Tribolium castaneum: one gene and its partners. The main gene of each other region encodes a partner of the protein of the gene in region 2 in a complex. Links are inferred from orthologs where the notes say so. Each region holds a gene or a part of one and is shown on either strand. Other genes may lie near its edges.

What was found.
Region 1: lds (region 2) and splicing factor C9orf78 share a complex: the UniProt entries of both Homo sapiens proteins name them as parts of the spliceosome. The link is inferred for Tribolium castaneum from reciprocal best matches to the Homo sapiens genes TTF2 and C9orf78.
Region 3: lds (region 2) and NiPp1 share a complex: the UniProt entries of both Homo sapiens proteins name them as parts of the spliceosome. The link is inferred for Tribolium castaneum from reciprocal best matches to the Homo sapiens genes TTF2 and PPP1R8.

Annotation. Positions count from the first base shown.
Region 1 is NC_087394.1:36,668,200-36,671,327, reverse strand, and holds splicing factor C9orf78, read right to left. Parts: upstream 1,640-3,128; coding exon 1,500-1,639; intron 1,452-1,499; coding exon 838-1,451; intron 789-837; coding exon 643-788; 3' UTR 599-642; downstream 1-598. Other genes in the region: casein kinase II subunit alpha, read left to right, coding at 1,850-1,905, 1,949-2,999. UniProt on the Homo sapiens protein: Plays a role in pre-mRNA splicing by promoting usage of the upstream 3'-splice site at alternative NAGNAG splice sites; these are sites featuring alternative acceptor motifs separated by only a few nucleotides. May also modulate exon inclusion events.
Region 2 is NC_087394.1:25,404,095-25,408,310, forward strand, and holds the start of lds (transcription termination factor 2), read left to right. Parts: upstream 1-1,268; 5' UTR 1,269-1,544; coding exon 1,545-1,599; intron 1,600-1,649; coding exon 1,650-2,077; intron 2,078-2,125; coding exon 2,126-2,799; intron 2,800-4,216. Other genes in the region: probable ATP-dependent RNA helicase Dbp73D, read left to right, coding at 1-1,039. UniProt on the Homo sapiens protein: DsDNA-dependent ATPase which acts as a transcription termination factor by coupling ATP hydrolysis with removal of RNA polymerase II from the DNA template. May contribute to mitotic transcription repression. May also be involved in pre-mRNA splicing.
Region 3 is NC_087396.1:21,737,684-21,741,283, forward strand, and holds NiPp1 (nuclear inhibitor of protein phosphatase 1), read left to right. Parts: upstream 1-1,477; 5' UTR 1,478-1,704; coding exon 1,705-1,733; intron 1,734-1,856; coding exon 1,857-2,071; intron 2,072-2,139; coding exon 2,140-2,357; intron 2,358-2,414; coding exon 2,415-2,966; 3' UTR 2,967-3,034; downstream 3,035-3,600. Other genes in the region: EGF-like domain-containing protein 2, read left to right, coding at 1-1,100; Aprt (adenine phosphoribosyltransferase), read right to left, coding at 3,183-3,600. UniProt on the Homo sapiens protein: Inhibitor subunit of the major nuclear protein phosphatase-1 (PP-1). It has RNA-binding activity but does not cleave RNA and may target PP-1 to RNA-associated substrates. May also be involved in pre-mRNA splicing.

The DNA of each region.
Region 1 (3,128 bases), about 11 Mb from region 2:
GGGGAATCGATTGGCATCGAGAAAATTGCCAAATTCCCAATAGTTTTTTAGTTATGAATTTTTTAAAATATTACCAATTTTTGCATTTAGCAGCAATTTGCTCGAAAACTATTAGTCGGAGAACAATAATCTTTTTTGAAAAAAATAGATAATTTAAAGAGCTTTCCAACGATAATACACTTCATGGGGTTATCTCTAATAGTTCCGGAGCTATTGCTCGACAAATGTTCCGGGTACCCAAAATCGACAAAAACTGCGACGAAAATTGAAAAAATCAAACATCAAAAAATCGAACATTTGGACTTTTTGTGGACTTTTAACAACTTTTGTGGGTTGTTAAGACATGTAGGAGTCCATAAAAAGTTCCTAGAGTTAGTTAAAAAAAAATTTTTGTTTCACCTCTTGAAGGTACTCAGGAAATTTGAGCAAAAAAAATTGAAAATTTTAAATTGCGTGAAAAATTAGTATAATAGAGAAAAAAAGCCGCTGAATCCAATGGAACAAACCGCATTGCTCTACGACTTTTAGTTTTTGAGTTATGAATTTCAAAACAACACAGTGATTATTTGCTCGGATTTTTAAAAGAAATAAAAACAAATCAAAATAAATAATTTATTCAAAAATAAAAAACACTACAAAAGGCTAATATCTCCTAAATTGTTTTTTGAACTTTTCGTAGTGATAATCATCGGTGGCCCTCTCATCCTTTTTCTTCGGCTTTTCCGTAGCCTCCTCCACTTTATCATCCAACTTGGCCTTCTTTTTAGCAACCTCTGCGTCTATATTAACTGTAAAAAAAGTAAAAAACTCCAAATATGAGCAGTTCTGCCAACTCACATCGATTGTGCTGCACAAAATTCACCGCCATATTCGTCGGCACAAAAGGCGAAGGCCCGTCCTTCTTATTCTGCTTCTCCCACAGCAGCCTCAACTTCGCCTCTTCCGTAGCTTCAATATTCTTAATCTTGGCCTCAATCCCCAGGTCCACTTCCGGAATCCCATTCAACATCTGATTGGACAACATCTCCTCCGACCTCTTCGTCGACGACTCCCTCAAATGGTCCGGGACTGCCCTCAAAGCCGCCTCCTCGGGGCTGGTGTACGCCGACTTGTTCTCAGCCTCGGCCTGCTCCTGGGGCTCGACCTTGCGCTTCTTCTTCGACAACTCTTCTTCAATAAACTTCATCATTTCCTCGTCTTCGTCACGTTTATTCGTCTCGACCGAAAACTGGGTCCCTATGCCAGTGTCGTACGCATCATCGACTTGCTTGACTTTGCCGCTTTTAAGGGCTTGCATGTTGACCATGCCGCCGGACTTCACCTTGAAAGGGTCCTTTGAAATGCACTCGTCCTCGATGGTGATTTTGGTACCTAGGGCTAGCCCCAAGGCGTTGACTCCATGGGGGCGCTTACGCAAGTTTTGTAACTCCTTCATTTCTTCTAGTTTGGTGCTAAAAGCAACGTTAGGGGAGGCACCACAGTGAAGGGGGTCTTGTTACCTGACCTCCTCCAGGTCCTCCTCTCGGTCACTACCATCCGAGGGGCGCCTTTGGCGCAGCTGTTTACGGTTTTTACGTTTAAAAACGGGTTTCGAGTCATTTGAATCGTTAGATTCGGTTTTAATCCCACTTGTTGACATGACGAATTTGAGGTTATGACGCCCCAATAACTACACCAAAAACGACCAAAACCACCACAAGACACTCGAGACTGGCTCACAAAACACAAAATAATTCATAATTCGTGTGGCACCATTAAATTAAAGCCACAATTGTGTTTTTCGCTTAATCGGGTTAGGGATTTTCGTTTTGTCGTTTAGTGACAAGTAAGCACCCCGTTTAAATTTCAAATGTCAAAAAAAGATTTCAAAAAATTTGTGCCAAAAATGGATTTGGACGACACACCGTAAGTGTTTTAGGCCTAAAATTACCAAAATAACACAAATTAGTCGTAGCGTTGTTGTTACAACATCACGGGTATACTCGGACGTGTTCTCAAACAAGCCCTCTTCCTACTTTGAGTACGACAACTACAACCCCCCGACTGACGATATCAACAATTACAGTTTGATTCGGAAAATCGGTCAAGGGAAGTACAGTCTAGTGTTCGAGGGGGTGCACGATGGTACTAACGATTCGGTCGTGGTCAAGTTGCTAAAACCGATCAAAAAACCGAAAATCAAACGTGAAATTAAAATTTTGGAGCACTTGAGGAACGGCCCCAACATTGTGAGTTTATATGCCGTGGTGTCGGTGCCTTCCACAGCTTTGCACGCCCTGATTTTCGAATCCCCGTCAAATAATGAGGACTTTAAGGAGGTTTATTTGAAATTGAGTGATTCCGATATCCGGTTTTACATTTACGAAATTTTGAAAGCCCTTGATTTCTGTCACAGCAAGGGCATAATGCATCGTGACGTCAAGCCGCACAATATCATAATTGACCGGAAAAATCGCAAAATCCGGTTGATTGATTTCGGTTTGGCTGAGTTTTACCGTCCCGGAGAACGTTACAACGTCCGGGTGGCGTCTCGGCATTACAAAGGCCCGGAATTGTTGGTAGAGTACGGTTATTACGACTATTCCCTCGACTTGTGGTCGCTTGGGTGCGTTTTTGCCGCAATGATCTTCCGTAAAGAACCTTTCTTCCAAGGATTTGATAACCGCAACCAACTGTATTGCATTGTTAAAGTGTTGGGCACGAGCAAGTTTTACTCTTATTTGAATAAATACAACATTGTGCTGGAAGGTAGCATGCAGGAGATGTTGGGGATTCACTCGAAAAAACCCTGGCAGAGATTTGTCAATACGGAGAATGAGCATTTAGTGAATCAGAATGCCTTTGATTTTTTGGAATCGTTGCTTTGTTATGATCACATGGAAAGATGTACGGCTCAGGAGGCCTTGGGGCATAAGTATTTCGGGCCGGTGAGAAGCTCGGGGGCTTTGCCAGGGTTGGATAAGCTCAAGGTTTCAGGGTCGGGGCAAGCGGTTCATTGATTGTAAATGTATAGAATAAAATATTTTTGTGTTTTTGGTTTATTTTTTTCAATAATGTAAGAAAAAAAAGGAGTACCCCTGGTGGGACTCGAACCCACAGTCCCCGGCTTAGGAGGCCGATGCCTTATC
Region 2 (4,216 bases):
TTATTTCAACGAGTGCTTTGGTTTTGTGAGCAAAATTGACATTCTTGTATGCACGGCTGGTCGGTTAGTGAACCATTTAAAATCGACCAATGGTTTTAATTTACAAGCGCTCGAATTTTTGATAATTGACGAAGCTGATCGTGTTTTGGAAAGTGTTCAAGACGATTGGTTGTATCATTTGGAGAAACACATTTACACGATTCAAAACAGGAAAGTTTTAAATGTGTGTACTTTACAGAGACAAAGGGCGCCTCAGAAACTCCTCTTTTCGGCGACTTTGACCCAAGACCCCGAAAAAATCGAAAAATTATCACTTTTCCAACCGAAGCTTTTCACTTCATCGGTCGTGGAAAACTACAACGAAAGTGAGGAAAAACCCATGATTTTGACCGGAAAATACACAACACCGAAAGAATTAACGGAGAAATACATCGTCTGTTCTAAAGACGTCAAACCACTCGTTTTGTACGCGTTCCTCAAACGTGAAAATTTGACTAAAACTTTGGTTTTTACTCATTCAGTCGAAAGTGCCCACAGGCTTAAAATCCTCCTTAAATCACTCTTTAAAAAACGGTTAAAAATCGAGGAAATTTCCTCAAATTTGAAGGGGAAAAGCCGAGATGAATTTATTTCAAGTTTTACAAAAGGTGAAGTTGATTTATTGATTTGTACAGATTTTTTGGCTCGAGGGATTGACTTGCCGGGGGTTAATTGCGTGATTTCTTATTCAGCCCCCAAATATTTGAAAACGTACATACACAGAGCCGGGAGGACAGCTAGGGCGGGTGAATCGGGGTTGGCTGTGACGCTACTACATGAGGAACAAGTGCCGGCGTTTAAAACCTTGTTGAAGAAAGAAATTGAGGAGGTTGAGGTTGGGGTTGAAGAATTGGAGGGGTTGAGTGAAAAATATAAGAAGGCGTTAGGGAAGCTCAAGGAGGCGGTTAACGAGGAGCAAAAAGTGGGGATGGAGAGTGTTTTGTCCAAGAAAAAGGCTTTGAAGAAGCTCAAGAAAAAGGTTATTAATTCGGTTAAATAGCAATTGTTTTGGAGTAATAAAATATTTTTTGTTTCTGGGTGTTTGATTTATAAACTAAGTTGCCAATATTACCTTTTGACTTGCTGGGCCAATTCAAGGGGCTTCGTTAACATTTTTCTTGTAAATTTCACTAATTTGTTTTTGAAAAAAGTGGGGTTATGTGGTTTAGTGACTAAGGGGTGCCAACAAAGTTGTGGCATTGTCATTTCAACAAACCCAAATTTTTGAGTAAAATTTGCTCAACTAGTACGAACTATTCGGGAAAAGTGATTATTCATACACTGCTATAACAAAACAGTTAGGAAATTCATCAAACAATTATTTGAAACCACAGATGGTTTTGTGTGTGGTTGGTAACACTTTTGTGATTTTGACTCCAGCAAAATTATCTAACGGAAAAAGTTTTGAAAGTTTTTTGTGTGTGATAACGATAACGTCATTCTTTTAATCGTTAATTGTGCTATAAATTGAATGAATTAAGACTGCGCTTCATAACGACTGAATCATGAGTGAAAACAGTGATATTTTCTCCTCGGACGAAGAGCAGGACTCATTTGATGGTACTTTTTTAGTTTCTCGTTTTTATTGTATTTAACTTATGATTCATCAGGACGTATTGAAGCTTCAGATCACGCAGATGAGGCCAAAGAGCCGGTAAAAGAAATTGAGTCAAATCTTTCAAGACTTAGCTACAGAGACAACAGTCAAATCAGTGATGATGAAAGTGATTCAGGAAGTGACCAAAAAGCTTCTTTTTACACAGATGAGGAAGATAAGTCCATCTCGAGTGATAAAATCGATGGAAGTACCCCTGAAATTATCAATGATTCTCTCAGTATTGTCGAAGTGAGCAGTGACGATGAAACTGTCCCTACAACTAGTCAAAAACAAACAAAAATCACTTCTTTTTACACAAAACCGCTACTTGACGTCAAACTTGAGCCCCCAACACCCCAAAAAACCATCGTAGGCCGGGCACAGTACGAGGAACAAGTGAAAAAAATCAGCTCAATTGAAGCTGATTTATTGAGGGCTAAAGTGAGTGAACGTCGCTTTATTTTCACTTGTTTACGTAATCAATTGTAGAATGCCATGAGGGTGATCAAACTGGAAAATTTGCCTGATCGGGGGAAATCCCTAATCGACAAAGAACAATCATTGATCAAACTATTGCAAGAGCAAAAGGATTTGTTGGATACCATGGAAGTAAATAATGAGGAGCCCCCTTTAACAGCCCAGAATCGAATCGAAGTTGCTTGGGACGAGATCGAGGCAGGCGTGGGGGCCGTGGGGCCCCGAACATTTGGTAAAATCGGTGTTGCTCGATTTAAGGCCGAGAAATCAATGGCAATGGAGACTCTCGATTCGCTTCACAAATCTTTGGAGACTTGTCCGACTGAAAAAGACACCGTGGAGGACCCACGTGGGCTTAAAGTGCCTCTAATGCCCCACCAAAAGCAAGCACTAGCCTGGCTTTTGTGGCGCGAAAAACAAAAACCCTCAGGGGGGCTCTTGGCTGATGATATGGGACTTGGGAAAACGCTTACAATGATTTCACTAATATTGAAGTCAAGGGAATTGAACACTGATGAAGAGCAAGATAAGGAAAACCATCGTGATAAACGGCCAGGGGGCACTTTGGTCGTTTGTCCAGCCAGTCTTATGAATCAATGGTCTGAGGAGATTAATAGGAGGACCAAAAGGGGGCTGCTGTCTGTTGAGGTGTACCATGGGGCGAAACGCGAGTCTAAGCCCAAACGGTAAGTTGTTATAAATACGTATTCTTCCAAAAAATACTTCTTAACGTTTTGGAAAAACGTTACTAAACACTAACTAGCATCAAATCTATTCTGAAATCTATAATTCCGGGACTATTGATGATAATGGTTAGTACAGGTGCATCCATATAATTATATGAAGATTATCTTACTATGATACAGAGTTTGGTGCGAAAATCGTTGATGAATGGAAAAATAGAAATTTTTTTTAATTCGTCTTTTAAATTATTCAAAGTTTTGCGTTTGTTTCCACGCCAATTGACCTACCAGAACATCTGTCTACACATTTTCAAAACATTTTAATATGGGTATCTAGTTATCTGAGAACTCGTCTTATAGTTTTATCTATTTTTTTAGTTTTTTTTATTGAACAGTTTTGTTATTTTCTTTTCAGTTTTGCAGTTTGTAATTCTTAGAGTATTTTAATTTTCATTTAATATTACTTTTCAATCACTATTTAATTTGTTTCTCAAAATCCCTTGGAAAAGAAACAAGGAGTTTGAATTTTAAGATTCTATCCAGTGTCCCTGAAGTGTCAGTGATTTTTTAATATGTTACAATTTTTTTTGTTTAAATAAAAGATAGGACTTGTGTATTTTTATATTTGCCTACTTTACGGAATTTTTTTAATCTTTTACCATAGAATTTTCTTTTTTTTAAGTTTAATCTTTTTTTAATTTAATTTAATTTAATTTAATTTAATTTTTGTTTTTTCTAACTGTAATTATGTAATTAGTCCATTTATTTTTTATTTTTTAAATATTTTGCTTTAAATAGTTATTTTTATGGAAATTAGCGCAGAACAAATGTTTTTTAACTTGAGAATGTCAGACTACAACTACATAATTAAAAAAAAATAAAAAATAAAAAAATTGGCTTTGCGTGCATAATACAAACAACTGTATTTTTTACAATTACACTGCTTTAAATTACAAATTTTTATTCTGTGAAATTCTTGAATATTTCATAGAAAATAGGGCCTCATTACTTTTTATATGTTACTTTGCATTATCAATATAATAAAACTTTGTCTTAAACTCATTTGTTATTTTATCTTTTTTTCTTTTTCATTTAAAATTTTTTTTGTCTATCAAAATTCTCTGTGGAAGGGAAATAAATAATCTGAGTATTATTAAGATTTTCTGTTAAAATAAAAAATGCACACTTTCGTTGTTTTATATTTTCATCCTCTTGATTCTTCTCGGATTTTTTCCAATTTTCGTTTTTCTTAAAAGTTTAAACTGTCATTTTTGTAATTTGTTAATTTATCTATTAACATTTTTTTTAATATTCTGGTTTAAATCATGGTAAATGTTTTTTTTAACTTGAAAATGTTAGGTTTCTTATCGAGATCGTTTGATTAAGACTAAAAACATTTTAGAAAGCTTAAAAAACGGGT
Region 3 (3,600 bases), on a different chromosome or scaffold from region 2:
CGGAAATCCCCCAAACGCCACAGCCAGGCGTACCAACTGATGAGGATTTGAAACACCCGCCACATATTCACGCAATTGATGTCGAGTGCGCCAAAGACATGATGACCATCACGATTGAATTTAACCGCGAGTTCAATGGAGTGATTTACTCCAAAGGCTACTACAACATGCCTGAATGTCGCTACGTGAACGAAAATTCCGAAATGACGAAATACCGCTTCACCGTCAGTTTGAACTCTTGTGGGACTGAATTTATCAACGCGTTTGATACTCAAGGACAGTCGTACCTGGAGAACGTCCTCGTGATCCAAAACGAGCAAGGGATCCAGGAGGTTTGGGACACAATCAGAGCTGTGAGGTGCCTCTGGGAGGGCAACCTGAAGGACTCCCTCAGCGTGGCGCTCAGCGTGGGGATGCTAAGCCAGGAGATTGTGACTTTCAGTGGGGACACCGCCATGGCCAAGCTGGACATCCAACTGGGCAAAGGCCCATTCGCGCCCCCGGCCAACGGTTTGGTCAAAATCGGGGAGCAAATGACCCTTGTTATCTCCGTGACCGGAGACCCCGGTTTTGACATCCAAGTCAAAGACTGCAGGGCTACGGACTCGACCGGCGACCGCGTGTACCCCCTAACCGACGAAAACGGCTGTATTCTCAAACCCAAACTATTTGGCGCGTTCCAAAAAACACGAAACACGGGAAATACCGGCGCTTCCATCATTGCCTACGCGTTTTTCAACGCTTTTAAATTCCCAGATGTGATGGATTTGATGATTCAGTGCAACATTGAGCTTTGCAAAACCGACTGTCAGGTGTGTCCAGAGCCCAACCAGCAAATCGAGCCTGGGAGGAGGCGCAAACGTGACCTTTCGTACTATAATAACACTGACGGGGTCACAATGGGGAAGCACCTGAGGGTCGTTTTGGCGGAGGATTTGAACGATATTGGCAATACTGAGGCCGCGTTTGAGGGGGAAGTTTGTATGACGACGCAGAATTTTCTACTAGTTTCGGCGATTTTGATCTCGCTACTCACTGCCAGTAGTGTACTAAGTGCTTGTCTCTGGTTGAAGAACCAACGGATTGCTCACAAAGGGTGACAACTTTACCACAATCCTGCCAATGTAGTTCCGTCCATTAAGTTATTGTGACTCCAGTATTTTATTTAAGTTTTTTAATTATCGTAGGCCCATATTTATGTAAATACTTGACTAATAAAGTAAGAATTTTGTAGCGTGGGGTTTTCTTTTATCAAGGTTGACGACAACGACAGACTAAATTTGTTTAATAAAAAAGCATAATTTTTTTGTATGGGACTTTATTGATTGAAATTTACATAATTTGAGGCGTAAAACTAGTAAATCATTACGATTCATTGTAAGCGATTAGTTCATAATACATATAAACGAAAAAAAAAAATGGTCTGGGTCAGGGTTTGAACCCATAACTTTTGAGTTGGTGTTGATCAGTTGATGATTCCTCGGTCATAAGCACTTTCGTACTACATAATAGCAGGTTTTCTCAAATCAATGCGGTGCCAAATCGGTACAAAAAGTTTAAAACAGTGATTTTATAACAAACAAACGATGGGCTTATTATTTGGGTGCGTTTTAATGTCGTTAGATTGACAAATAACGAGGTTGTTTTATTCGGCCTTGTGCAACTTCGGACGTAGCGTTATGTCACCTGCCAAAAAAGCGACAAATGGCAAACCATTATGAGGTGCCAAATTGGTAAATAATCCTTGAAAAATTGTGTTATTGGCCCCTGAACCCCTCACTTATCATTTCGCCCCCTTTTCTGTCACACAATCCACAAATCGTGTGTTTTTGTGTGTTGAGGTTATGCTGTTTCAGGGCAGGCAAGCCCCCCGTGGGTTTGCATTTGGACGTGCTAAAGGGCGACAAACTAATACAAAAATTGATGATCGACGACAAAAAGTGTTACTTATTTGGACGCAACGCCCAAATGAACGATTTCTGCATCGATCACGCGTCATGTTCGCGGGTTCATGCAGCCCTCGTTTGGCACAAACACTTAGATCGGGCGTTTCTGGTGGATTTGGGGAGCAGTAAGTGTCACGTGTGCGCAACTTAGGGCTTTTTTGTGTCAAGACTTGGATAATTTGCGTTGTTTTAGCCCATGGCACCTTCATAGGATCATTAAGACTTGAGGCGTATAAACCCACTCAGTTGCCTATTGATTCTAGTTTTCACTTTGGGGCGTCCACGCGAAATTACACGATCAGGGAGCGGCCCCAGACGGGCATGCGGCCGATCATTGACGAGATCGAAAAGGCGGGCGAGGAGACCGAGGGCGGATTGCTGGGGCTCCCCGAGACCGAAACGGAACTCGATGTAAACCACCCCAACCAGCGAAGCTGAGAGCTTTACAAAAAATATTTTTTTCCATAGAATTTGACGGAATTTAACACCGCCCACAACCGGCGGATATCAATGCTGGGAATCACCGACGACACGGAAAAACGCAACACCAACCGGAAGCGCAAACGCCAAGTCGTTTCCTTCAACGAGGACGAAGAGATCATAAACCCTGAAGATGTGGACCCGAGTATCGGTAAATTCCGAAACTTGGTCCAAACCACCGTTGTACCTTCAACCATCAAGAGGGCCAAATTCGCGGCTGAGAATATCGGAATCCCCACTGAATACAAAAATCCCAAAATCCTTCATCCCTCCGCCCCCGATTTGTACACAGACCTGCCCCCCGAATCCCACTCTCCAACCAGTTCAGGGAATTTAAGCATTTACAGTTCGTTAAGTTCACGCCTTGGAATGGTTTTACCCAATCCGGCGCCAGATGTCGACATGGGACAGAACTTCGCCCCGCCCACTCCCTTTGTCCCGCCCCAAGTACAAATTGCGGACGCCATGGAGCCCAAGAAAAAGAAGTATGCCAAGGAGGCGTGGCCTGGCAAGAAGCCCACGCAAACGCTATTGGTCTAGGATTAGGTGTAAGCTTTTGATGTAATTTTCTCAAGGTCATAGATTAAATATTCAATAAAAAACGAAAAGTAGTTTCTTTTATCGAAAAACATGGCGAAATAATTTCTGAATTCTGGGAAACAGTTTCAAACTAACACCAACTTGACAAAAATAGGTTTTTTATTTCACTACTTGATGGAATGCAAGGCACTCTCGATTGAAATATCAATCAAAAAATTAATATTTAATAATGGACAATACCTCTGCTGGCACCTTCTCCCGGCCTTTGAGCCCCTCGAGCTCCATTAGAACGAGACACCCTGCGACTTCGCCACCTGCCCCTCGCACGAGCTGGCAGGCAGCCCCTAGACTGCCCCCCGTGGCTAACAAATCGTCCACAAGCAGGACGCGTTGCCCCTTACTTATGCTATTTTCCTGAATTTCAACAGTGTCATGACCGTACTCGAGAGCATACTGCGCCGACAAAATTTTCCCCGGTAGTTTACCCTTTTTCCGAATTGGAACGAAAGGTATGTTCAAATCAATCGCCATCAACGGCCCCAAGAGAAACCCCCGAGCATCCAATCCCACGATACATTCAGCCGGGGGCTCAATTTTGCGTGCAAAAGACACCAAAACGTCACGTAAAATTGCA